Mytilus edulis: one gene and its partners. Each later gene encodes a partner of the first gene's protein in a complex. Links are inferred from orthologs where the notes say so. Each region holds a gene or a part of one and is shown in the gene's direction. Other genes may lie near its edges.

What was found.
Region 2: smad nuclear-interacting protein 1-like (region 1) and U5 small nuclear ribonucleoprotein 200 kDa helicase-like share a complex: the UniProt entries of both Homo sapiens proteins name them as parts of the minor spliceosome. The link is inferred for Mytilus edulis from reciprocal best matches to the Homo sapiens genes SNIP1 and SNRNP200.
Region 3: smad nuclear-interacting protein 1-like (region 1) and E3 ubiquitin-protein ligase RNF113A-like share a complex: the UniProt entries of both Homo sapiens proteins name them as parts of the minor spliceosome. The link is inferred for Mytilus edulis from reciprocal best matches to the Homo sapiens genes SNIP1 and RNF113A.
Region 4: smad nuclear-interacting protein 1-like (region 1) and splicing factor 3B subunit 2-like share a complex: the UniProt entries of both Homo sapiens proteins name them as parts of the minor spliceosome. The link is inferred for Mytilus edulis from reciprocal best matches to the Homo sapiens genes SNIP1 and SF3B2.

The regions. Positions count from the first base shown.
Region 1 is NC_092353.1:19,625,965-19,632,990, reverse strand, and holds the start of smad nuclear-interacting protein 1-like, read left to right. Parts: upstream 1-4,009; 5' UTR 4,010-4,112; coding exon 4,113-4,187; intron 4,188-7,026. UniProt on the Homo sapiens protein: Required for pre-mRNA splicing as component of the spliceosome. As a component of the minor spliceosome, involved in the splicing of U12-type introns in pre-mRNAs. Down-regulates NF-kappa-B signaling by competing with RELA for CREBBP/EP300 binding.
Region 2 is NC_092347.1:15,196,535-15,203,383, reverse strand, and holds the start of U5 small nuclear ribonucleoprotein 200 kDa helicase-like, read left to right. Parts: upstream 1-3,849; 5' UTR 3,850-4,042; coding exon 4,043-4,087; intron 4,088-6,849. UniProt on the Homo sapiens protein: Catalyzes the ATP-dependent unwinding of U4/U6 RNA duplices, an essential step in the assembly of a catalytically active spliceosome. Plays a role in pre-mRNA splicing as a core component of precatalytic, catalytic and postcatalytic spliceosomal complexes.
Region 3 is NC_092345.1:33,822,900-33,830,440, forward strand, and holds the start of E3 ubiquitin-protein ligase RNF113A-like, read left to right. Parts: upstream 1-4,539; 5' UTR 4,540-4,594; coding exon 4,595-4,691; intron 4,692-7,541. Other genes in the region: D-ribitol-5-phosphate cytidylyltransferase-like, read right to left, coding at 1-12, 2,279-2,439, 3,018-3,151. UniProt on the Homo sapiens protein: Required for pre-mRNA splicing as component of the spliceosome. As a component of the minor spliceosome, involved in the splicing of U12-type introns in pre-mRNAs. E3 ubiquitin-protein ligase that catalyzes the transfer of ubiquitin onto target proteins.
Region 4 is NC_092346.1:9,790,087-9,797,636, forward strand, and holds the start of splicing factor 3B subunit 2-like, read left to right. Parts: upstream 1-4,547; 5' UTR 4,548-4,582; coding exon 4,583-4,673; intron 4,674-7,550. Other genes in the region: large ribosomal subunit protein uL11m-like, read right to left, coding at 508-648. UniProt on the Homo sapiens protein: Component of the 17S U2 SnRNP complex of the spliceosome, a large ribonucleoprotein complex that removes introns from transcribed pre-mRNAs.

The DNA.
Region 1 (7,026 bases):
ATATTTGATCAAGAAACTTGGTCCAATTTTGCATGACGTCATCTATAGTTGCATTTAAAAAAAATCGCATAATAATCAAATGGAATAATTGAAAACTCTGATTGAACTTTTACAGAGAACAACTCGAACTGATTATACAATTACAAAAAGGAGGTGCCAATCAACGTGATTCCTCGCTGTCTGATATTTTACGTGAAGTCGTTGAAGACGTCCAGCCTATCAAAAAATCAATGGGAACCAATCAAAGCTAGGAATTCTAGGTGACAAGATACAATAAGTATCCTTGTTTTCAGAACTACATAGCAGATGAAACGCCTTACTTAGTATTTGGTTGAACACGTTCAGCTTATCGAAGATACAAAGGGAAACAAAAAAGCTAGGAATTCTAGGCTACAAAATTCAATTTGTATCCTTGTTTTCAGAACTACATAGCAGATGAAACGCCTGACTTAGTATTTGTTGGAAAATTGTTTTCTCTGGGAACAGACTGTACACCTTGAAAACTGTTTACATTTATCTTATATATATTGACACATGTATTTTTATTTTTGTCTTAATAGGAATGTGTGAATACTGTTTTAGATAATAACTAATGCAGTTTGTTTGGAACATATGCCTATAAGTATGTGACCGTGACTAAGAAAATAGGTCCAGATGGGAGTGGAATTATGCATATATTGTTTTTTAAAACATTGAACGGCATTAATGTGTGTGTTTTTTTAAATTTGAAAGATGTTTTTGTGCTCTTTTGTTAAATATTTATTTGTTTTGAGATTGTGACACAGTGATGACTGCTGTATCCATGTTTTGACTCTTTTACATATTGTGTATGTTTTGTTCTCGCATCGTTGTAAATTAAATGTGATGCGACTGTCAAACAAGTGAAAGGTTAAGCGCTATAAAACCAGGTTCAATCCACCATTTTCTACATTTGCAAATGCCTGTACCAAGTCAGGATTATGACAGTTGTTGTCCATTCATTGATGTGTTTTATCGTTTGATTTTGCCATTTGATTATAGGGACTTTCCGAATTTTCCTTGGAGTTCAGTATTATGTGATTTTACTTTTTTTATACATATTTTCATTTTTTTTTCAACCCTTTGTCAATACTATTAATGTGCTTACTAGGAATACAAACGTTATGATGATATTTCAACTGGTTTCGAACATGTTCATATTTGGCATGTATTTGCGTACGATAATACATAATCAGAAAAATACGGAAATTCAAACAAAATTCTGATTAATTGTTTTCTTTGGAAAATTGGAATGTTGTAAATGTGTTCCACCTCAATATTGTATATTTGAGTACTCAAGGATTGAATATCTATATTGATGACAAGAATCCATTTTTTGAGGAATATTTATATTTGTATGTGGTTTCCATGGAAACAAAACAATAAATATTCTAGATTTTTGTTTTCATATTCTCTAATTTTTACATCAATTTTATGTGTTGTTTTTGGTGGTATTGTACTGTCTTCGTATCATTTTTTGTTTGTTTATCACATTGATATTTTGATTTTAAGTGTCTTGTTTTAAGTTTTGGTAGGTTTTAAATGAGTTGCTTTTTGTTATCGTATGTTTTGAATGATTTATATGGTACATAAAAAAATGTATCAAGACTTCCATCGGTTTTTCCCCAAATTAGATGAAATAAAAACGTGAAGTTAGTGGCATTGTTATTGAAAATGTATGCAGTACTCTGTACCAAATACAGAATATACTAGTCCTCTGATATTTGGTCAATTTATCAACAACTCACAATGTTTTGACGTTGTTAGTGACATTCGCCTTGATAATTTAACAAGTAAGGCCCGTTTCAGCTGTTTTTACAGCTTGTTCTGATGGTGTACTGTTTCACAACAGTCTCGTGTTAAAGAAGGATTTATCGCATAGAAACATGTTTAACTCCATCATATTCTAATAAATAAACTCATCATAGATACCAGTATTGAAATTTTAAGTTAATTTATAATTATGAACATATCAATGATTATCATAACTCAAGTCAACACAGAAGTTTGACTACTGGGCTGGTGATACCCTCGGGGAATTAAAACTCCACAAGCAGTGGCATCGACGCAGTGGATGTAAATAAACTATTCATAGATACTAGGGTCGAAATTTTATATTTACGCAAGACGCGCGTTTCGTCTACAAAAGACTCATCAGTGACGCTCGAATCTAAAAATGTTAAAAAAGCCAAATAAAGTACGAAGTTGAAGAGCATTGTGGACCAAAAAAAATCTAACAGTTTGGCCAAATACAGCTTAGGTAATCTATTCCTGAGGTAGAAACGCCTGTACCTGTCTTTAGTTAGTGTCGATAATTCGATCAGTTGTTGTCCTTGATTGAATAAACCACAAAACAAATCATTTTCAATAAAATTAAGTCATCATGAAAACATTGTTATCATGGAGTTATACTTGCGATTCGACTAATGGCAATCATACCACATCTTCTTTTTTATAAGGTAGGAGAAAGGTCTTAAATATATATTATATTACTCCGTATATCCATCACTGTTTGACTGTTTATTTTTGTGTGTGTTCTAAATGAGAATGTAACCTGGCCAATTAAACCTTGTGAACACAGGGCTTCTCGTGTATTCTTTCGTGGGTGTACTAAGTTAATTATATTCACGAAATATGTGATTCGTGTCTTCAAACTAAAAAAAAAAGCATGAACAGATGGTACTGTACTATGACCTATACTGTTCATATGCTTTATTTTAATGTACATCCTGCCTGGTGCAATTCACAATTGTACGATTATTTTCAGATGATTGTTTGTTTTGTCACAAAATACCACAACGCGCTACATGAAAACCTAGAGGGCATTCAGAAAGTGTCCAGCTCGATCCATTACAGATAACTTTTTTTTAAAAGGTAATACCCTAGTTCTTACTGAAAACGAAATTAACCTTGTTTAAAACAGAATGCAACTGATAATACCGTTTTGGAATTATCTTTGTAGTTTTTTTTTTAATATGAATTGGATTTCGAATAAAATGGCATATTGGCCCATGTACACGTGGACTGAGAAAAGAGGTATTCGCCACTGAACGTAATGTGCTTTTATTTGAATAATAATAGTAAAATGATTGATGGATATATGCTGCCCGGCTTTAGGAGTCAGACCACCAATGTACGACATACAATTTAGAACGTATGTAAAAGACCATGCTCTGACAAAAAGTAGTGTTTTTTATTTCCTTAAACTAACCATCAAATCTGCAGAAACGATTATTTTGGTGAGAGAAAAATATATTTAGACCATTTCATCCAAAATTTACTTGTCAATGAGTTTGCATTTAAGTTAAGGATTAATGAGCTCAATAGTATACTAATGTAATATTTCCAGAAAAAAACAGGTGTTAATACTTTTAGTAGTGCTTATCTTCCGATATGCAATTTTTTCTTGAAAGACTTGAAACATGGGATGAAAACTGGCATATGTAGAAAGGTGATACAGTGTACAATTCAGGATACATGTACCTGGTTTCTATGAAGTTAAACTTAAGTTGAAATATTCGGCAGAAAACTATGAAAATCGAAAAACTTGGTTAACAGATAGGGATTTTGAATTGGCGGTTACTGTATCAATGGTGTCGCAAATGATGAAATTGTGCCGGCTCGCCTTTAGTGTCGGAGGTTGCGGATCGGATAAAGCACATACAAATCCGCTTGAATCTCCATGTAATAGTTACCGCTGTACGTTAACTAAGCCCCATTCATGGTAAACTACCTTAGTGCTTTTTGTCATACATTTTTTGGGGGATGTTTTTTTTTTTTGCTTGTGGGTGTTTGTGGATTTTTCCCGTTTTCAAATTAGAACTTGAAAATTTAAGAGAAATTTCAAAATCGACTTCTAGTACCCCTGCCCAAATAAAGGAAAGAAAATGACAGGTCCTTAAGTAAATGGACCACTTTATAATAGTCACAGGCTAAATCACTGATACCTAAATTGATAATGCGGATTATCTACGTGTCTTAGTCGATACCTGTTTCTATTTTTAGAAAACTTGAACAGGTGTCGCTGTCGTCGTACGTAACTTCCTGTTTATTTTTCTTTCATCGTATTTCAAACGACGATATTAGCTAAAGTTATGGCCAAAGATGATGAGACAAAAGCGAAAAAGAAGCATAAGAAACAACGACATCGTTCCTCTAGTCCGGAGAAAGTAATCAGCTTAAAATCTTTTATTTGTATAGACACAGTCAACGGTGAACCCTACTGAGTAATGTAAATTATTTGGTGTTGACCATATGATCCTGAAAATTGTTTTTCCATATTTAATAACCTATTAAGGAATATGCAATATGAAGAAACATAGACATTCCTTAATATATATTTCCATGATATGCAGCAATTGACCTGTTAGAGATCACCAAGTCTCTATAAATTATTATTTGAACAGGTTAGACACCATGAACACAGGTCAGGAAAAGTGGGGTATTCCCTGTTTTGCTTCCATGACAATCCGGCAACACATCGATCCGGCCTACCTCAGTGTATCCGCACATCTAAGACTTATGACCACTTCATTCAACTGATAAAACCAATAATTAGATAATATTGTGTGAACAAAATCATAACATACTTTTATTTCATAAAATCATCTGTTTGTATGGTTTCATCATTCAGGAATCCGGGTCCGTCCGCCCTGATTTCGGTTCGCCCTAATTACAGTTCGCCCTAGTTCCGTTTCGCCCTGAGACCGTTCGCCCTGATACCTGTTCGCCCTGGGTATGTTCGCCCTGATTTTTATTTTTTATTATAGTGTTGTGTTGTGTGTATTTAATTGAATATGTTGAAGTCAGTCTACAATTTCGCCGAATATTTACGATTTTTATTTTTAGTATAGTGTTGTGTTGTGTGTATTTAATTAAATATGTTGAAGTCGGTCTACAATTTCGCCGAATATTTACGATGTATTATGTTGTCTACAGCTAGCTGCTACTAGGCTATAAGTTCATGCCTAACAATTTGTACATCAGTGTTTTTACCCATCCAAGCCGACTATTTTATTTGAGAAAATGTTATTTTCATTATCAATCCATCAAAGGCAATTCATATACCAATCAGTGATACCAAAGATTTCAAATCATACATGTACCTAATCAGCAATAAAATTCAATCAACAGTAATTAAAAGTAATTATAAAATAAAGTGTAACAATGCAGCCAAGAATTTTATTTAATTAATATGCTGTATTTAACTGTTTATAGATATACATAAATTTTAATATATATAAATATATATTTCTTTCATTAATGTAACATATACATATCATAAATGAAAATAGGGCGAACGAACCCAGGGCGAACGGATTACCAGGGCGAACAAACTCAGTGCGAACGAACCTAGGGCGAACATGTAATCAGGGCGAACGATCCCGATACCATCATTCAGTGTTCCAGCTACAAATGTAGCATGAAATGGAGGGGCGCCCCGCCCCCGAAATTTTGCGCCCCTCTGCCTTTTTTAAGCGCCCCTGCGCCCCATTGTGCCCTTTTGAAAAAAGTTTAAAAAACGATCTTTTTTCCTCATATCGTCGCCATTTTCTTGAGTTCTTTATGCACACACACTTCATTAAGACAACAGATTAAAATTGTTGACACTTGTTACCTGTATATAATCACCTATTTGATTGGAGTCAATTACTTAATCAGGTGAAATTTACGACCCTGTCTAATCCCTTTGCCCTGAAGCACCAAACATCGAAGTTAAATGAATTGATTATTTTAACACCTGACGATGCAAAATAGAATTTATAAAATAAATGTGAACGGTGTTCATTTCTAATGTATTTGTTATTTATAAAATAACGTTCATTTAAAAAGAATCATTCCAATAGGTCAACACGCAAAATGCCGACGAAAAAAAGAAAAATTGACCAACTCGGAAATGACAAGAAGAAAATATCAAAGACTTGGCTGCCAGTCTATTACATCTTTTTTCAAGAATAATGACCATCAAGAGTAAAAAATAATTTAATTCTTTACCTTTATGAAAAATCGAGCAGAAGAAAGGTTTCTATCAAATATCACAATTGTTCTTCTATTGTAAATTCAGTCGATTACGGAGCACCCAAAAGTCAGAATTTTATATCATTTTGTCTTAAATTGAAATCCGTTTTGACTAACTTTAATATTGATATTATTAAATACGCTCAACATGAAGTAAACGGAGATGCTTGTTGAATTGATAATAAACTAACAAAATTGAAATAATTTTATTTTATTGTGCCGATTGCGGAGCTCTCGAAAGTCCGATTTTTGTATCAATTTTCTTATTGAAATCACAGGCACTTGTTTTTATCCATTGGAAGACCCCCTATCAACGTATATTTCCGTAAATATACATTGATAGGGGGTATTCCAATATGAATAGAAACAAGTGCCTGTGATTGAAATCCGGTTTGACAAACTTATTGATTTTATTAGATACGCTCAACATGAAATATACGGAGATGCTTGTTGAATTGAACAGACAACAGTGAAACTATGTATGGTTATACAGAGAAAGAAGCTCTGGCAAATACATTTGACATGGACCCTGAAACTCTCCTTTTTCAATAACAGGACTTTATAGCTCTTGTGTCATCAGCAGAACTTACAGATCGTTCCTTATCTAGTCTGCTAGAGCTACAGTACAGCCTGTGACTTCCTCTTAGTTATGTCCACCCTCTTGCATGGTCAACATCCAATGGTGAACATTTATTGGGGTATTCAATCTTGAGATGTTGGCCATTTATTGGGGGTCATAAATCATGGGCAGATTTTTTATCTAATTATGTTACCTGTTAAAATCAATCAGGGTTGAAGTTTTCAGCTGGTATGTTTCATTAAAATTTACCTGTACAGGTGACTTGGGTTTTTATTAAAATTGACATTTCACCTTTTTTTGAAAATGTAGAATAAAATATTGTTTTACTCTGTTAATTTATTATAATTTTTTTGTCTTTAATGTTATTTAAATTTTTTATTTTTTAATTGTTTTTTTTTCTTCATTTTTGT
Region 2 (6,849 bases), on another chromosome or scaffold:
CACTGTTGCATGACATGTTTATTAATAAATGTAATTATCTCAGCTTGTATTTTATAAATTCAAATAATCTTTCTTTTTAGGTATTTGGGAGGGTGTCACTGTGGGTGGGTGTTGTCTCAACCATGGGTAATTAAATACTAGTTAAACTTTTATATCAAACAGTCATTTCAAATTCAAAGTTGTTTAAGTGTATTATATCAAGTTACGCTATTATACATCTGTAAACAGTAAGAAACTTCTAGATTTTTACTGGCCCTTCAAATTTACAAGAAATTTATTACCTCTTGGAATTGTAGTAATATTTTACACTATAAAAAATCTGCATGGAATATGAACATTTACATGTACTAATGATAAAGAAAATTACTGTCACATGTTTTTTGGATTTTGACATGAGCATTCGTGAACTAAAAGTAGTTTTGAGTTTCTGCATAAAATATTTTCTGCTTTTTCTTTCATTTAGCATGTTCAGAACTAAATCTTTTAGTTTTCAATTCTAATGTTTATATTTCATCATCATAGATGTATTTCATCCCCTGCCTGGAAGTATCATTTTGATCGGCAAACCTGGAATTACCCTTATCCATCCAGGAACTTGATAAAGTATTGTAATTTTTTGCATTTCCGGTTTTATGGCATCCATTGTTTTTCAATGTTGTTTTTGTCAGTCAGATATGATTTTGGTCGGTTTTACACATTACTGCTGGTTAAATTTCAGTATAACCCTAGTGGTTGAACAAAATGAACATTGCTGTCATAAATAATAAAGATGAAAATAAATTTTGAGATCGTTTGGAAATTTTGGTTAAAAAGGTTGGCAAAGATTATTTTTATTTTCCTTCAGGTCCAAGGTCCGTAGGTCGTAGGTAGTAACCAAAACGAAGGTCTGATTGCAAAAGTGGAATGTCACGGACCTCAGACCACCGCTAATTTGAACCCTTGCAATTGGTATGCAAATTTTTTAAGTTGTCTACCTTTTGGATAATTACGTCTGCCATATTGTTTTCAACAAGTAATTTGCATATAACTTACAAGACATGCTTATCAATTCACTGAAGTTAAATTGCACTTTATTGAGTAAACACGACTAATAACTTCTTCTTCTTCTTCCGTTAAGGAGTTGACCTCATATTTGAGTGATTTACTAACTCCGCTCGGTAAAACAGGAGGCTTCTCCATTGATTAAAAGTAAATATTAACAAATAATTAAAACTATATATACACTGTACAATTTGGCAGGCTGATGTCTAGTTAGGCTGCATCTGGGTCCAGGGCACACTGGCTAATCTGGCCCTGAACTCCTCGAGTGTTGGTGCAGCTGCTACTGTGTCTGGCAGAAGGTTTCAGTCTCTTATAGAGCGTGGGAAGAAGGAGTTGTTGTATACTTCCTTAGTAGCTCTTATCTGTCTAAGTCTGTGAACTTAAAATTAAAAACTTTAAAAAAAATTTTAAAAACTTAAAATTATATCATGTATATACTTTGATATTATTTTAAGAACTATAATACCATATTTTCGATGGTAAATCAATTTGTCCTTTGGATATTAATTAGTTCTTGTAATACCCAGGAAATTGTCTGGTCAATACACCTTATCGCTATTCCCAGCTGACCAGAGAATCTGTACCGCTTGAACTATTGACGTCATACAACAGTCACTTTCCATTGTTGTGTCAGATATTTTGTATTATGATGTCAAAATTTTAAGGGAACCTGAGTGATTTCCAGTAATTATGGCAGACAAAGAGCGATATCTAACGACAAACGATAGCCGGACCAGAGGTAAAAACAGCTTCTTCCAAGAAAGGGCCACAACAGACGCCTTCGGACAATCATTTTTTCCAAGGACCATTAGAGACTGGAACCAACTGCCAACATCCGCAACATCAGCTGACACAGTTGATGGATTCAGAGCTGCCCTGAAGGCATGCTCTGCTAAAATTTAGACAGTAACATCCTGTACATAGTTTTAATTGTATATATATAGAGAACGTTTTATCCTGTAAATAGCCAAGAGAAAACTTTCTGTGTTGTCCGACATTGCATTAGTTTTTGAGGGACCTCATACATTCAAGATTTGAATTCGGTTCCTTACCTGGAAGAAGAAGAAGAAGGAAAATACAAACTTATATTGACATTGTAACCCAAAGTTTATTCAGTTATTGAATTGTTTTTGGCATCAAAATACCATATATCTGTTTAATTGTACTAATCATTTTCAATAATTTTGAATCAATAGTTTGGACTATGTGACTTGCAATATAATGCCAATGACTGTCCCTGAAATAGCATACCTGCAAATTATTGTACTTTCTTTTTCTCGATTTGTCGGTGTTAGATTTGAGCTTTAAAATAAATGTAGACATCAGTTTTATAAAACGTTTGAATGATTTTAAGCACGATAGGGTCTCACTAATTAGTGACAACAAGCGTCAAAAAGCGACAACAAGCGTCAACAAGCGACAACAAGCGACAAGAAGCGACAACAAGAATTATTTTAGCGACAACAAGCGACAAGAAGACTATTTAGCGACAAGAAAACATTTTTTTTTATTAGATATAAAGAAATTTGTATTTAATAGTTTTTTTTAAATATACGAGCAGATATGTCTCAATTAAAATGTTTTATTATATTGTTAGATGAAGAAATTTAACATTTGTGAAGAAGAAAGAGATTGAGCTTCTTTTTTTTATTTTTAAATATGAAGAATAAAAAAATTATGTATAAGATAATGCACGGGGGGGGGGGGGGGGGGGGGTAACTTCCTATTATTGGGTATACGGGGATGTGCCAAAAATATGGGTCATAATTTTGCGAGATTTTATATAAAAATGACCCTCCTTTTTAATGACATCCTATATTAAAATGCATTTACGTTTGATAATTGTATATTGATTTGGGGTATGATCTACATATCATATATAAATATGCTATTGATATGTGCACCAAACGATTTCAATTCATATATAAAAACTTAAGGGTAGCTGGTATATTTATGAATTATGAGTGATGATGAGTTAGTGCTTATATAAGCATGGGTCATATTTTAAATATTGTATATAAGTATATGTCATTCTTTCTTAAATATTTATATAACTATAGGTACTGAATTTCAGTGAATGTTATATTAAAATGGGTACGTTTTTTGAGACAAAAATGGCACACCCCTACCAAAAAAATATCGAAGTTACCCCCCCCCCCCCCCCCCCCCACCATGAGATAATGTAAGTATCTTTTTTCATCAAAGTCAAAGTATGAATAAACGAATGGCGATATATATGGAGCGGGCATAATGGAATATAATATTTTGATTCTAACAGTATAATTCATTGTTTTAAAAAACAAATTATAAGATAAATAACATGTTCTTTACAATGGAACAATGGAAAAGCAAGGATTTGTATAGTACTATACAAATCCTTGGGAAAAGTAATCTCATAATACAATAATTAAACGTAATACTGGCTGTTATTCATAATAGATGATAAAATATTATGTAAATAATGTTTCATTTTTTTCTATCAATTTTAACTTTCTTGTCGCTAAAATTATTTTCTTTTGCATATTCTTTTAATATTTATTGCAATAATTTATTTTAATTAAAAAAAAATGTTTTCTTGTCGCTAAATAGTTTCTTGTCGCTTGTTGTCGCTAAAATAATTCTTGTTGTCGCTTCTTGTCGCTTGTTGACGCTTGTTGTCGCTAATTAGTGAGACCGGCACGATATTCTAATTTTAAATCAAACACGGAAAAAAAACATAGAAGAGCTTTTTATCGTTCATATTGACTTTCTTTGGAGAGGAAAAAAAATGAGAAATAATTTTATTGAAGGATTCACTGTTCTTTTCAGAATAAAACAGTTTGATGGAGGGATATAACAGTTGAGTTATACAGAACAAAAAAGAAAAAACTATCCGGAACTTTAAACCGGAAGTGTACTGCCATCTAGCGTCTTGAACAAAAGCGAAACGAAATACAAACGTAGCCGCATGGAATAGAAAACAAACGCTAAATTATTTAAATAAGGATCAACCGGAGGGAATATGGCTGATGCAGCGGCCAGATCGCTTCAATATGAGTACAAGGCTGTAAGTTAATTTGATAAATGGCCCAGACAAATTATGTCTTATGATAAACGTTACTGACTGATTGCATTTTTTTTTAGAAATGACAACCAACTTCGGGATGAACCATAAATTTTAATAACTTTCTTCAACCATCCTGGATTAATTATTTTTCTACCAAACTTGGACAGATGCTTGTTTATGATCACAAGATAGCATCCAGAGCACAGGTATTTGGGGCATGGACCCCCCTTTTTGGACCTCACTAAAAAAAAATTGTTTGGTGTTTTTTTTATGTATTTTCAATTTTCTACAATGTATGAACATATATCAAGTCTCAACAATCCATTGCTAGTCGATTGCAATAACTTTTTTACTATCCATACGATCCCCAAGTGAAAAAAGAAGAAGGTAATTACCTTCGATGACTGACCTACTTTCACTTTGGAGGATCAGGTCAGGAAATCGATAAAAATTTCATATAAAAACTCACTTACTTTTCATAAAAAGTACATCCTTAGATTCCTGAGATATTTTTCTCGACGTTTAAATAGGTCACATGGTGATCTGCGGAGGTTTTGTGTCTTGTTTTACTGATTTTGTTCTACATTTGTCGTCCGTTTGAACCTCGATGCACGGAAGTGAAAATACAGCGCCATCTGCGTGGTCTTTCGCTATGTTTCTATAACTCCTTTTGACTAAACTGCTTTCCTGTTAACTGTTTTTTTGAATTTTTAAAAGACCGGCAAAAATACTTTTTTCGAATATCTCTTACCTTTTCTTATAGCTACATTGCATTCGGAACCCATCTGTAAAACTGGTAACCAAAAACAGGAAAGCAGTTTAGTCAAACGGAGTTATAAAAACATAGCGAAAGACCACGCAGATGGCGCTGTATTTTCACTTCCGTGCATCGAGGTTCAAACGGACGACAAATGTAGAACAAAATCAGTAAAACAAGACACAAAACCTCCGCAGATCACCATGTGACCTATTTAAACGTCGAGAAAAATATCTCAGGAATCTATGGATGTACTTTTTATGAAAAGTAAGTGAGGTTTTATATGAAATTTTTATCGATTTCCTGACCTGATCCTCCAAAGTGAAAGTAGGTCAGTCATCGAAGGTAATTACCTTCTTCTTTTTTCACTTGGGGATCGTATGGATAGTAAAAAAGTTATTGCAATCGACTAGCAATGGATTGTTGAGACTTGATATATGTTCATACATTGTAGAAAATTGAAAATAAATAAAAAAAAACCAAACAATTTTTTTTTTAGTGAGGTCCAAAAAAGGGGGGTCCATGCCCCAAATACCTGTGATCCAGAGCAGAAGTAAATTTGTGAAATATAAATCTTGTTTTTCCGTATTTTACTTATATAAAATAGACGTATTTACACTTGTATGCAAATTTGTCCGCCATACACCTTATCGCTAATCCCGGCTGACCCGGAGGCTTGAACTTTTGACGCATACAACAATCACTTTTTCATTGTGGCCTCAGACATTTTGTATTATGACGTCAAAATTTTACGGGAACCTGTGTGATATCCAGCAATGGCGGACAAATAGCGATAAGGTGTATTACATAAATTAACACAGGTTCCCGTAAACTTTGACATCATAATTTAAAATATTTGACGTCATAATTTAGAATATTTGACGTCATAATTTAGAATATTTGACGTCACAATTTAAAAGTGATTGTTGCTTGACGTCAAAAGGTGATTCGGAGTCGATCTAAGGTCAATCGGAGGCAAGATACAGCTAAATACCAAAAGTGTAAATACGTTTATTGGGTGAGTTTTTCTTAGTTAAACTAGTGTTCTCCCCAGAAATTTTGGATAGCATCACATTTTGCGTTAAAAAAAATAACTGTATTTTTTTTAATGTCGTTTGTCGCGTCGTGTTGATGCTCTATTTCCTTTACTTTTTAGTTTATATTGTTCAATTCATAACTGAGAATACAATTAAACTATAACCACAAAAACAGTTGTTTCAGTTTATGTCTTCTTTGTTCATTTATAGTTACAGAATTATTTTTTTCCTCTTGTGCCAAATAAAAATAAATATGTGGTTTCAGTTACCCAACAATAAGTCAAATGAATGAATTGTTCATTATAGTGCAACCTGTATATATACAAAACTAAATTATCTAGTATACAAAATTAACTGCTTTTTATATTATATCAAGTAAAGATAAAGTAGCAAAAGAAGCAAAAAAATCAATTTAAAAACTTTTTTTATCATGTTTATGAAATTCATTGTTTCATGCCACTCAATGAATTAGTCCCAGTTGTTTCTTATCTTTACATCAAATTCATATGTATTTTTAACAAAGTTATCTAACAAATAGTCTGGTAATGCGTAGTTTTCTCTCTTGGTTTTTTTTTCTGTCTACTGTCCATCTGTTGTCATTATCGTGAAAATGCAGATTTTTGTCATATCTGGTCCGGTTCCGATCCGTAGTTTACACAAAAATGTGCAATGGCGGCCGTAGTAAAATTTACGAAAATGAGTCCGAGAATAAACATTGTTTGACAAGAGATTGTGAATGAATAAGACGCTTTTAATGCATAAAATGGATTAAACATAAACTGAAGCCAATTATGATAACTTTTTAAAGAAGTATAAAACTTATTTTAGCTCTAAACCAAAATTCTCGCTCTCGTATTACCGGAAGAGAAAGAAAGTAATTTTTGGGAGAGTTGCACAAATAAACGACCTTTTTTGAAAATAATAAAAATCGTTTCAATCTTTGAAATTTCGTAATACAAAACGTAGAT
Region 3 (7,541 bases), on another chromosome or scaffold:
CAGGTTTACAAACTGAAAGATACAGAACTAGAGATGAATATCTAAAAATAAAGAACCAAAATCAGGGTCAACGAGACATCAAACATATATAATCTCAATGGTATCAGTTACCATGGTTACTTAAAAAGATTTTAACACTGAATAATTCTCTATACGTAATATTTATAAAGATGAGATACAACGTTTTTTAGCTCACCTGGCCCAAAGGGCCAAGTGAGCTTTTCTCATCACTTGGCGTCCGGCGTCCGTCGTCGTCGTCGTCCTGCGTTAACTTTTACAAAAATCTTCTCCTCTGAAACTACTGGGCCAAATTTAACCAAACTTGGCCACAATCATCATTGGGGTATCTAGTTTAAAAAATGTGTCCGGTGACCCGGCCAACCAACCAAGATGGCCGCCATGGCTAAAAATAGAACATAGGGGTAAAATGCAGTTTTTGGCTTATAACTCAAAAACCAAAGCATTTAGAGCAAATCTGACATGGGGTAATATTGTTCAACAGGTCAAGATCTATCTGCCCTGAAATTTTCAGTTGAATCGGACATTTCGTTGTTGGGTTGCTGCCCCTGAAATGGTAATTTTAAGGAAATTTTGCTGTTTTTGGTTATTATCTTGAATATTATTATAGATAGAGATAAACTGTAAACAGCAATAATGTTCAACAAAGTAAGATCTACAAATAAGTCCACATGATCAAAATGGTCAGTTGACCACTTTAGGAGTTATTGGCCTTTATAGTCAATTTTTAACCATTTTTCGTAAATCTTAGTCATCTTTTAGAAAAATCTTCTCCTCTGAAACTACTGGGCCAAATTAAACCAAACATGGCCACAATCATCATTGGGGTATCTAGTTTTAAAAATGTGTCTGGTGACCCGGTCAACCAACCAAAATGGCCGCCATGGCTAAAAATAGAACATGGGGGTAAAATGCAGTTTTTCGCTTATAACTCAAAAACCAAAGCATTTAGAGCAAATCTGACATGGAATAAAATTGTTAATCCGGTCAAAATCTATCTGCCCTGAAATTTTCAGATGAATCGGACAACCTGTTGTTGGGTTGCTGCCCCTGAATTGGTAATTTTAAGGAAATTTTACTGTTTTTGGTTATTATCTTGAATATTATTATAGATAGAGATAAACTGTAAACAGCAATAATGTTCAGCAAAGTAAGATTTACAAAAAAGTCAACATGACCAAAATGGTCAGTTGACCAATTTAGGAGTTATTGCTCTTTATAGTCAATTTTTAACCATTTTTCGTAAATCTTAGTAATCTTTTACAAAAATCTTCTCCTCTGAAACTACTGGGCCAAATTAATCCAGACTTAGCCACAATCATCATTGGGGTTTCTAGTTTAAAAAATGTGTCCGGTGACCCGGCCAACTAACCAAGATGGCCGCCACGCCTAAAAATAGAACATAGGGGTAAAATGCAGTTTTTGGCTTATAACTCAAAAACCAAAGCATTTAGAGCAAATCTAACAGGGGTAATATTGTTCATCACGTCAAGATCTATCTGCCCTGAAATTTTCAGATGAATCGGACATTCCGTTGTTGGGTTGCTGCCCCTGAAATGGTAATTTTAAGGAAATTTTGCTGTTTTTGGTTATTATCTTGAATATTATTATAGATAGAGATAAACTGTAAACGGCAATAATGTACAGCAAAGTAAGACCTAAAAAGAAGTCAACATGACCAAAATGGTCAATTGACCCCTAAGGAGTTATTGCCCTTTATATAGTCATTTTTTTTTAACAATTTTCACAAAATTTGTAAAATTTTACTAACATTTTCCACTGTAACTACTGGGTCAAGTTCATTATAGATAGAGATAATTGTAAGCAGCAAGAATGTTCAGTAAAGTAATATCTACAAACACATCACCATCACCAAACCACAATTTTGTCTTGAATCCATCTGTGTCCTTTGTTTAGTATTCACATAGACCAAGGTGAGCGACACAGGCTCTTTAGAGCCTCTAGTTTTCAATGTTACTGAAGACCCTTATGTGACTTTTAGTTTTAAATAAACGTTGATTGATTAAAACTTGTTCCTATTTGTCTTCTTTTTTATATTTCCCATAAACATGATAAAGTGCTCTGTTATTGTGTACATATCTCAACTGATTTCAAATTGTATGATATTTTGTTTTTTTGTGTTAATAAGCACTTTTTTTCTAAATGCTTTTTTTTGTATGCAAAATCTTCATAAACATGGAGAAAACAGATTCATTCATACATTCATTTAAAAAATCAAGTTATGCAACATAAAATGTACCTGTTTCCAGTGCTTTGACACCATTATAAATTGATCTGTGTCTTGTTGGAGATCCAGTAACTAACTTCACTTTAGTAAATTTATATTTTGTTAGTAAATTCTGCATGAACTCCAGATAACTCTCATCAACCACAACGACAATCATTTTTATCCAGCTTAGTCTGAAAATTGGGAAAAAAGACTGAAATTTAAACAGCACATAATTCATTGAAAACAGAGAATTTTTTAGATTAAGAGTTTATTAAAAATTCTAGAAATGGAAAGGTTTAGATCATTGGATGTAACTGTAGCCATGTGTAGCGTTGTCATTAGTTTTCTTCTTAAAAAAAAGGCTTTCCATTGGCCACAAACTTTTTTGAGACCATGAATGTATGATTACACCCCTATGATCATGTATGCATGTTCACCTTGAAGAATTTTAAAATGCTTCAAATTCATAGCTTGCGTTTGTAAGGTAAAATTTGGAGATATTCAACTTCTTCAATGCTAATCCTCATGGCTTGCCAAAATTCCTAACTTTAATTAACCATTCAAATATTCATCGGTTTGTCTAAATTCATGCTGGGGAAAATCTGAGTACATAAGAAATCTTTTACAATATTTGGAATGTCCATGCATTTCCATTTTTACATATACATTGTATCTATGAAATCTGTGTATTGTAATAGAGGTCTGTTTAGTAATTTACAGTGTTGTTTTGGTGTACTTATTTCCATTCTAACATAGCACAAACATTTACCTATGAAAACTATGTATTGTGTAGAGTATAAGAGGTCTGTTTAGGACTTTGCAATATTGTTTAGGTGTGTCCATTTCCATTCTTACACCACATCCACCGGCAGGTAAAACCACACAAACATTTTCTAAATCCATTTTTGAAACTGAAAAATATATACATGTAACTCATAAAACTGTTTGAAACATATTTTACAAATGTGCTGCATTTGTTTGCACCTGTCCTAAGTCCCGGACCTGGAGTCGGTTACACAAAAAACTTATGATTATGATTGATCGAAAGTAGTAAACAATTCAGTATAATTAGGATACATCTTAGTCGTAAATTTTTTTGTGAAACTAACTCCTGTTGTTCAGTGGTTATTGATGTGGAAATTCATAAGTGTTTCTCATTTCTTGTTTTTATTAAATAGACTTTATAATAAAATAACGATTTTGTAAATAAGGGGGACGGCAAAAAATGTATTGTCCCAAGTGCCTTTGGAAATTTAGGGATATTTTAATTCCTTTACCTGTTTACTGCTTATATAAACAACAATGTTTAAAACATTCTTGATGAGAGCCATTGCCGTAGTGGTTATAGTGCATCAGACTACTAACCATGCTAACACAAAAGTTCCTGGTTTGAATCCTGTTCCGTGATGAAAATTTCAGGGACTGAATTAGTATAGATAGTAAAATTAGGTATTTTCTCTGAGTCGTTTAAGTCATTAGAAATGAGACATGTACAGTAGTGATAGATATGTATTATAAATATAGAAAATTGAATATTTGAATCAACAACAAAAAAATATCTGTATCCTATACCCAAGCGCTTGTGAATAAACGTATTTACACTTTTGGTATTTAGCTGAATCTTGCCTCCGAATGACCTTAGATCAACTCCGAATCACCTTCTGACGTCAAGCAACAATCACTTTTAAATTGTGACGTCAAATATTTTGAATTATGATGTCAAAGTTTACGGGAACCTGTGTGATTTTACGTAATGGCGGACAATTTGCATACAAGTGTAAATACATCTATTTAGGGCTCTCCCTTGGCATCATTTTCTAGTATGGTCTTGAGGAAACGAGGATAGTCTGTCAAAAGGGGATGATAAATGGCTGACCGGGCGTGTTCATCTCTTGCAAGTTAAAGACACCCTTGCATATTTTGAAATAGAGCAGGCTAATGCTGCTACATTTTGTACAAGGCAGCACACGCACAGGAAAAGTGGAAAAGGATTAATATAAGTTGCAAAACTTGCTTCTCTATCACCTGTAAATAAATCTATGAAATACATGTTTAAACTAAACTAAAACATTCTTTTACAAGGTTTTGAATTTTTGGGAACTTTTTGCATTTGTCCAAGGTAAATATAGTAGGCCTTGGAACAATATATCTCCCTATTTGCTCCTGTTTATACTTTGATTTTCAATATACAAATTTTACCTTTTTTACCACGTGTATTTGTTGTTGTTTATGCGGAAAATAGAAGCAATATCTATAACGTGTAATTTGATTGGACACTGAAGTTTTCGTTCATTTATATTCCAATCGCAGAGTTCGTTATTTTTACGCGTCGGAAAATAGTCCAAAATGTCGGACGATGGATCATCACAAAAATCCTGCGTATTTTTTAAGAAAAGCAGGAAAAATCAGCCCACTAGGAAACGGAAAACATCTGAATCTGATGGTATAACATACATTTTTAATATGTGCTCATTGTGTTAGGAAAATGAATTAATTTCGAGATCAGACAGCCATTTTGAACAAAACAAGTATGGTTTTTTATTTTGACGTTTTTCAGACGTCCATGTATATCACATGATAAACAAGACCAGATATTATGAAATTGAACGCTTCTTGTTGTAAATTCCATGTGGTTCAAAAGCGTTGACCGAGGTACATTTTTAATAAGGCATGGCAACACGTATTACTATTAATACTATAAATGTGGCACAATCACAGGGGCTATATAGGGGGGGGGGTGTAGGAGGAATCCAGGTCTGTTCGCGCCCAGTCACGTTCGCGCCCAGTCTTGTTTGCAAATTTCACTTCCACACCCTACGTACACGTTACCACTAAAAGTCCATCTGCACCTTACACATTCGCGCACATTCTTAATGGTTTCAAGTTTTGGCAAGTGTATTCCTTTAAGTACAATTTGTTGTCATTGTCTCAAAAATAAATTGAGACAACGTTTTTTTTGTGTTGCAGTCTGCACGGTTAGCCACTAGTCTGATGCCCCAGACTAGTAAAATTTCATTCGGACTAGTAAGTTTTTGCAAATTTTATTAAAGGTAAAGATCCACATGCATGACATGATATAAAAATAAAATGTTTGAAATAAAAAAAAAGATTTGATGCTAAATTCTTGACCTGAAAGGAGATACGTGACGTGTATAGAAAAGACCTAACATTCTACAAGAAGACTTATTCTTACTTCACTAATTGTTTAATTTTTTATCAATATATGTGTATTACTAATCATGCTAATGTTAGTGTAACGTGTAACTAGGCGTTTATATCTCAAACGTCCGTTCCAGTAAATACTTGGATCCAATTGTCCACAAACAATATGGTAATACTAAAAACTACAACTATCTATATATTATGCACAATGAACTAAAATATACACACGGACTCTTTGCCGATATAAAGTAACAACGGACAATTATATATATATACAAATATAATACAATAAAACAGCCTGTCCTCAAGATGGGACGATGTGACACAGTGTCACTAAAAGACAGTATGGCTGGTACAGTCTGTCTGTATCAGACAGTGTGTGCTGGTACAGCCTGTCCTCCGAGTGGGACAGTCTGTCAATACCAGACAGTGCGGGCTGGTACAAGTTGTCCTCCGAGTGGGACAGTCTTTCACTACCAGACAGTGGGACAGTCTGCTATGTCAACATGTACTTCCACTTTGTACCCAGTACAAAGTATACTCTGAATACCAAGGCCCTTCTAGCACTTAAAATATCCGAAGTACGCTCAGTTGAAGGATGACAGCTCATCGACAGCCAACCGACAGCCTCGAGTGCTGTTTCTCACTCTCTTATATACCTGTGGTCGATACCACTATTTACTTGATAGGGGTGTTCTCTAAATGTTACCCTTACGGAGCATAGAGGAAATCATAGAGTCCCTTACGACCACCCCTATAACTTTCGACCCGACAACTGATTTTCCCGCCAAACATCTAAATCTGCCTAACTCTTTTTCTAGCGTAAACCATGCATTTCTAAGCTAAGATTCTACTCAACTGTAACCTTAACGACCAATAAACATTACATTAGTATGTTCTTTTTTAATTTTTTTTACAATTCTTAAGAAACTGTAAGTAAATGAAGTATAGCTGCATATATACTAAATTTAGTCCTGGTACATGTATCTATGATGAGTTTATATATATGTATCTGATCATGTTTCTGTTTCTGATGATTGTCGACAATGTGACTTATCTGCAATTTTTAATAAAGAAAACATTAGGTTTACAAATATATTAATGTTCCAGCAGATGGAAAAAAACATATCACTGCTTTTATCATTCAGTAATATTTATAATTTATTTATTTATTGATGTTACAGAGGATGATGCACATTTAAAACACATAAATTGCATATTAAATTCACACATATCAATGTATCACCATCTTCGCTAGCTAAGGGTTACGATCCACTCCCTTTCTCCATGTTCTCTTCACCCTTGGCACTTGGCAGATTAAGCCAACATTTGTAAAAACAATGTTGCGCCATCTATCGGAAGATTAAAGTCACGCCCATTCCGAATACATTATTCTTGACTAATGGTAGCACTTGAACTCTTCAATTTGGAGGTAAAAACATGGTAGCGTCTAGATTCTACACACTTGATAAAGCCAGAAACAAAAATATACATCAACATTCATGCATTTGTGCATGAAACATACACAGGAACTTCTACCAATTGAACAAAAACATTAAAGTTGTCACTAAATATAGTCGTATGTTTATAGAATGTTAAGACTTGTTGCACAATAAACACGTGGCATTTGTTTACAAACACTTTCTTCATTTACATGTGATCATGTTATAGGTGCTTTTTGATTGGATGCAGCGAGTTTCGACTGCAACCAACATGACCAATAAAAATCCTTACCTTGTGTCTCCAAAATTTTATCTCAATCCACCAAGGGTGAAGAGAAAGGGAGTGGATCATAACCCTTGGCTAACGAAGATGATGTATCACATACAAAGCAAATTTAGCAATTGTATAGAGCAAGAATAAAATTTTTGAAGCACATCTATAAGACAACATGCATTGCCATTTTCATCATGCACATCTAAAGTACACAGCACATTTGAAACACTCAAAGCACATATAAAACATAAATATTTATCACATACATATGCATGTACAACACACTTATGTATATCTAAAAGACAAAATGCAAAATAAAAATAGTTTTGGTAACATGGTCTATGGAAAAATCAAAATGGCAGTCGAAATGCTAAAAGACCAATTGTATTCAAGTACTTGTAGATTTGCAAATTGT
Region 4 (7,550 bases), on another chromosome or scaffold:
TCAATTTCGAACTGCAATCCATATATACACATAACCCAAAAACTGGTTAAGGAGAGATAACTTTACCAAATGTATTGACCATACCAAACTGACATAAATGTACACTAGGTCTAGGACATTCCAATACACCTTATCGCTAATCCTGGTTGACCCGGCCGCTTGAACTTTTGACACTTTCCATTGTGGCGTCAGATATTTTGTTTTGTGACGTCAAAATTTTACGGGAACCTGTGTGATATTCAGTAATGGCGGACAAATAGCGATAACGTGTATTGTATTGATAATGTCAAAGAGTGACCTCTGGTTGTATCAGATTGTATATTTCCCCATAGAAAAGCATATGACATGCCCCTAAAAAAAAGAAAAGAAATTTTTCTTATTGTTTATATATTACAGATAGAAATATGTATTTCAATACACCAGTAGACGGAATGGTGATAATTTGTTACTGTTACTAGTGTTAGTAAGTTGTTCGTGATAAATTTATGTGTTCGTTATGTATGTTACCTGTCCAAGATTTGGTCCAAGAGGTGGAGCTGGAGCAGCTTGACAGGAGTTTATATTTGTCTTCAAAAACGGGGGATGGATAATTTTCTCTACACCTCTCTTTGCCCCTTTAGCAACTTTCCTTGCACCCCGTGCAGCCATTTTTATTGGATAACTCTAGAGAATCCCGAAATAACTATAGAGTTGTTTCCCTTAGATTTCTCAAAAATTAAGTCATAGTTACAATACCGGAATGGGAAAAAATATCCGGATTTATATTTTATTAAATAAGGGGGAGGGGGTATTTATTTACAACAGGCAACATTCATATACATAAAGAATATATGAGACAATATCTGAAAAAGTCTAATTACCATGTCCCGATCTTTCACAAGCATTTTTTTTTCAGGCATCTTTTTGGAAATTTTCAAGTTTTAGTCACTATACTGACTATAGGGTATATATAATGCACCAACTGCACCCAATTAAACATTCTTTTTAATTTTTCTTCTAATAAAATATTATGATTTAAATGGTCCCTCCCAAAAAAAAAAATCATGTCCCCTGTTATTTTCTGAAAATTAAATCACTCAAAGAATAATCTAAATTAAGTAAACTTGGCAGCCTTCTGATTTTCCCAAATCCGTGAGTGATAGATTATGTATAGAACTTCTCCATTACTGGTCTGATTTTGTTATAACTGAAGCATGTAAGAAAATTTTGCATTTTTAAAGGTCTTTTAAATGTTGTCCCCAGGGGTAATTTCCCTCCTGTTACCGCTGGTTTTTTTTAAGCTGTGGACACGTTCGAAAGACCAAAAATTTATTTCTTGTAATGCAATGTGAAGAGAATCATTTCCTGAATGTATGACTTCATATGTTTAGGTGTATAGCAGCCAGTTTGAAAAATCTGAACTCCTTAAAGATCAGAATTTGTGGGAAAATAATTTTGTTGATCTAAGCTGTTACATTCTTTTTGTGTACCTTCTGAGAATATTTCAGTTTCAGCACTATAACAGTACATGTGTTTCATAGTATCTTATCAAATTGATATGTAGGTGGAAGTAAACTTCTACACAATTCGAGTAAATGAACAAAAAGTACTGCGCAATTCCTTTCTGTTACGTTCTGTCATGTTACCTGATAAAAAGTAACATCATAATCATAATCAGTAACAGGAAGGATGTTCAAGACAATTTTACTGATGAATCAAAAATTTAATCTACTATATACCATTGCAAATGCTAAAATCAATAATTGGCATTTGATAAACTATTGCAGGAATAACTAGTAAAACACAAATAGTGTCCTAAAATTTTTCCTTATTCCCATTAGAAACTTTTTAAAATTGATTCACTTTGGTAACAGGAAAGAACTGGATTTTGTATAAGTTTTAAAATTGTCAGTGTTACCACATTTAAGAATTGTTTGAATAACAGACAACAGTTCCTAGATCCTCAATGTGTGTTCTTTAATTTGTGCTATTAAAATACTGGGTCTGAAGATTTCTTTTCCTTATTGCCAAAATTAGATTTTCTATAGTACTCGTACGACCTTTCTTAGGAGATTGCCTTTATTCCTCATTGTCCCAACATCTTTAAACATAAGTCAAAGACATATAAAGACATATAAAGCTTTATCAAGTTCGAGTCGGTATATGCAATACAAGTACAAGAAAAACTCATATTCATAATTCCGTTCATGTGAATATTATATATCAAATTGTTTCTTCTAAAAACAAGTTGATCTCCTTAACTCCTATTTCACCATTAGAAAACAGCTGATATGTCAGATCGAAAATGTACCTCAGAGCGAGTCAATTTTAGGTCCCTCATTATTTCTGGTTTCTTGTTTTTATCAATGATATGAAGTTTATGTTGATAAAACCAGCCAGGCGTATATAATTATCATATAGTCATGCAGTTTTGGGACATAATAGTAACACTATATATCCAAGATATACAAGGCATATGTACTATATGTCTCTGACTATACTATCACTACTAAAATATAATGCCTTAATATTAATATCTATACTGGGATCCTGTCTCACTGCTCGATGAATTACTAGATTGGGTCCAGTGGCGGATCCAGGGGATGGGGGGTAACTGGGATTGGAACCCCCCTTTTTTGGACGATCAAACCATTTGAAGAGGACATATAGTTGGACCCCCTTTGTCCTGGGTTGGGACCCCTTTTTAAAATGGCTGGATCCGCCCCTGAGCGGTCACTGACGTCAGGCTGATAAATATCTCGACGACCATGTTTAGTATTTTCCCCTTACATTTTCCCCATGACTATTTAATCGAGAAGCTGAATCAAATAAAATTGAGAATGTAAATGGGGAATGTGTCAAAGAGACAACAACCCGACCATAGAACAGACAACAACAGAAGATCACCAATAGGTCTTCAATACAGCGAGAAATTCCCGCATCCGGAATGGTTTAAAATGATTGAAATGGAGCAGTAAATCATGATAAACTACAGATTTTGACAGTTTTAAAATATGAAACTCTCTAAGGCATTTGTCTGAGTTGTTACAGAAAAAAATCCGGTTTACTAGTATATACCTTGATATAACATTTATGTTTATATTTTTATGACTGACTGACTGTTTAAATATTAAACTATATCGGTTGTGCTTGCTTTCAGTAACATTGATAGATAGAAGTATTTGATAAAATATCACTGACATAAAATATTACAAAAGTAAAGTATTAAACCATAGCAGACATGTATACATACTCAAATAAAAAGATCTTGAAACAATATATTGCATTCTGAAAATCTGTTTGTGGTATTTAAATTTTGAAGGAAAAAAAAACTTACAGTCATTTTTTCTTAATTTTGATTTTGAATTGCCTAAATTATGTATGTGTGTTTTTGTGATTTGTTTAACACTATTTTAGATCATAGTGAAGGTATACTACACATGTAGTACAAAACATGTTAATTTACTAGTCAACAAAAGGAACGATAATATGCAATGCTTTTTCCATAGATATTATAGTTCAATACACGCACGCTTTTCAACCCTAAAAATATCCCAAACGGTCTAATGTTTAAAGGATACTGTTTTTTTTTTTTTTTTTTTTTTTTTTTATCATCAAACTGCATTGATTTACCGAAAGCGTACGTTACGAAAACGCAAGAGCGCGAAAAGGCAAAAAATCGAAAATGCGAAATGGCGAAAACACGTAGTAGAAAACGCAAAATTGAAGTCGAAACCGCGAAATCGGAAAAAAAATATATCAAGTTCGCATTTTTAACTTCGCGTTTTCCACTACGCAACGTACTAACTTCGCCACGTTATCACCCTAAAAAATAAGAAGGGCGAAAAGGCTAACCGGCCAAGTTTACTCATCTATCTTATTAGAGTATATTACGGTCACGATACACCTTATCGCTAATCCCGGCTGACCCGCCCGCTTGAACTTTTGACGCATACAACAATCACTTTTCCATTGTGGTGTCAGATATTTTGTTTTATGACGTCAAAATATTACGGGAACCTGTGTGATATCCAGCAATGGCGGACAAATAGCGATAAGGTGTATTGTCAGTAACATATGTCTCTTTTTTAATATTAAAATTTGGATAGAATAGAATAGAAAAAAATATTGAAATTTATTGGCAACATATGTCAGCAGGGGCGGATCCAGCCATTTAAAAATGGGGGGGGGGGGGGGTCCCAACCCAGGATAAAGGGGCGGGTTTCAACTTAATGTCCCCATTCAAATGCATTGATCGTCCAACCCCCACCTCCACCGTAGACCCGCCACTGCATGCATGAAAGCCGGTCATGAAATATTACAAACATAAGCTTTGGAAGAAAAAAAAATGTTTAGCCGTTTTTTTTGTTAGTTTTAATTTTGAATTGCCTAAAGTTAAAAGATTTCATAGTGTCTGCTTCAAATGAAGTTTTAACTCAAATCCTCACAATTGTTGGCGCAATTTTACAAAACCCGGATATTAGTACTGATCCGTAATAAACAAAATGTTTTTGTATAGGACCGTCTTTCAATCAATAGTTGTAATTTGTTCTACCCTTTTGTTCATTCTCGGTACTCTTCGGACTTTATTATTTGATCCAGCATGGCGTCGGTACCTACTACTGACGAATTAAAGAAACTTAAAGTTGTTGAGTTAAAACAGAAATTAACAGAGCTTGGATTATCTACTCAAGGTTTTCTTATTTCCCACCTTCATTGCATCGGTCAATAACGAATGTTTAAATGGCTAGCACAGCAAAATAATGTATCATATACGCTTGGCTCTGTAGACTGTACCATTTTTTGTTATCATAACACAGGCCAAAATACCGCTATGTTCATAATTATCGGTATCCTAACCCGACCTAACATTCCAGCAATTAGTGTCCAAAGTAACAAAAACGTTTTTGTTATTGTTACTTTTTCTGATATCAACATATTATTACATTGGTTGCAATGAATTACATTGATTTCCCAGTTAGATAAAAACCGATAATTTCACATGTGAAATAAACGTGGTTATTTCACTCTCTGATGTCATACAACAATAGGCGTTGTCAAGACGTCGATAACGTCGGATCAAAAGAAATTGTCAATGCGTAGGAAAAAGATATAGTTCCTTACATTTTCTACATTAATTTCATAAAAAAAAGCCATTTGCCAATGTAATAAAAAGAATAACTAATTGCTGTATTTGAATATCAAAAATAAGACAACTTGTGACCGAACGCCACTATGGATTAAACTCGTGCTGCGCACTCGTTTAATCCATGCGTCGTTCGGTCACGCGTTATCTTATTTTTGATATTCAAATACGGCGATTAGTTATACAGTACGCCCAAGGAGTTTGTAATCCCAAACTCCATACTCCGATATTTTTGCTGGTGTAACACCAGGAAACTCCGACATCCCTCCCAAAATTCTCGGAGAAATTTGGGAGTATTCCCTCCGACTTCCGCGTAAATCCGCTACCTTTTGTTTATTGTATTAGCGACATCTCTCCCAGTCTGGTGTGACGCGGTGTGACACCAGGTAATTAATTGCCCTAATCCGTCTGATCTATGCCGGCACGTGACAGTCAAGGTATGTGAGATTTCTAATGTAATTAAACAATTGTATTTTCTGTCTATTGATTATCAGATTATATCTGATTGCTTGAAACAAATGAAAGATTAAAATAAAAAGCAAAACGTTGTTGTTAATTCTTTTAATTACACTGTACATTTTAATAAAGTTTTTAAACAACTATATTTGATTTTGACTTCCGTTTTTTTATCAGTAAATAAATATTTAATTTACTAAAAGAGATATAATTGTGCAACAATAAACGGAGACTAACGCTGAATAAATGAGGGCAGTTTAAAGAAAAATTACACGTCTCAAAGTTTTTTATACTGCAAGTAAAAAAGAAAATATTATTCACTATATGTTATGCTAATAATTCTACACCATTTCCATTTTACGATTACAAAATAAAAGTTTTAAAATCCAAAACGTTGTTGTTAATGCTTTCAATTGCATTAAAGTTTTATAAAAAAATTCTATACTTGATTATGACCTCGTTTTTTATTTATCGGTAATTGATATAACTTACGAAAAGCGACATACTTGCGTGCAAATAAACGGAAACTAACGCTGAAGGTATAAAATGTGAGCAATGAGTTTAAAGAAAATTACGTGTCTTAAAACTTGTATATGCAAGTAAAAAAGAAAATACTATTCACCATTCGTTATGCTTAATAAGTCTACGGCATTTTCTCTTCACGATTATCATTACTTTAGGATATATATAATACATTTCGGCTACAACAGGAATACTTCTATAGCTGCATCAACTCGTCGTTGCATAATATTCATTTACGCACAATGAATGTAAACTTTTGTGTTGTATTTAGAACAGTGATCTTTAAATATTTTTAAATTTAAAACAATTAATTGCCGTGGGAAGACGACACGCATCTCAGTGATCAACAGTGCGTGGTTGAACTTGAACTTGACTTCGCTCACAATATTGAATGCTAAAAATAGTGACATCAATTTTGTCCACGAGATTTTTATTTGGCGGGAAATAGTATCACGTAACAGTAAACTCAGGTGACCTTTCTGGATAACCGTGGGAAAATTCATTGAAGGTTTAAACTTGCTTTGTAATGATTGACATTTGTGTGCGTTAAGATTGAGGCTCTAGAAGGTCCTTTTACAATTGATTAACCATATTCTAAATTTTATTCCTTTTCTGAATAAACGAACATCAGCCTTTTATTTATACGTTTCTCAGTCAACAGAGGACATAAACCTGGACATTATTTATACTTCCATAGTCAACACTATACATTAATGGTAGATGAAAACAGGATGCATGTCGTTCAGTTCCTGATGGGCGTTGGTAGAGATCCTCTGTGAAAATGTGTCGATCGTAAAAATCCGATCCACATTTTTTTTACATATTTCTTTCTTGAACGATATAATTTTATTTTAATATTCTATAGTATAAATTGTTGAAATACTTCTTTTTATATTTCGTCGAGGACTTTTAACGAAGAGTAAAATACGGATTAAGCCAATCCAATTTTATTTAAATAATAAAAGATCAATAACAGATCATAACAGATAAAAAACACGTGATTTTATTTCTTCATATAATTAAATAAGGTTGTGATTATTGTGTTGTGTCTGGGCGGGGAATTATCTCAGTATTTATGAATATAGGGCTGCCACATTGCATACAAAACTATTTGTCACTTTACAGTTTCTTTTTTAAATTCAAATATTTCAAGTCGGTAATCTACCGAGGTAGTGGAACATAATATTTTACATTTCAAAATAAATTGAAAGTAACAGAGTTCACTTGTTGGTCCGATAAATTAACTCTAGGGTTTGATTTAGATTGGACAAATTACCGTAAAAACATCATTTTGTTTTAAGCCAGTTGATATTAATTATATAATATTGAACTATTAATGAACCGGATATTGCTCACTGAGTAGGCCATAAAAGGTTCTAATTGTGGTAAAATCATCTTTGATGAAACTTTGTTGAAAAAACAAAAATTATGAACTGATCGGACTATA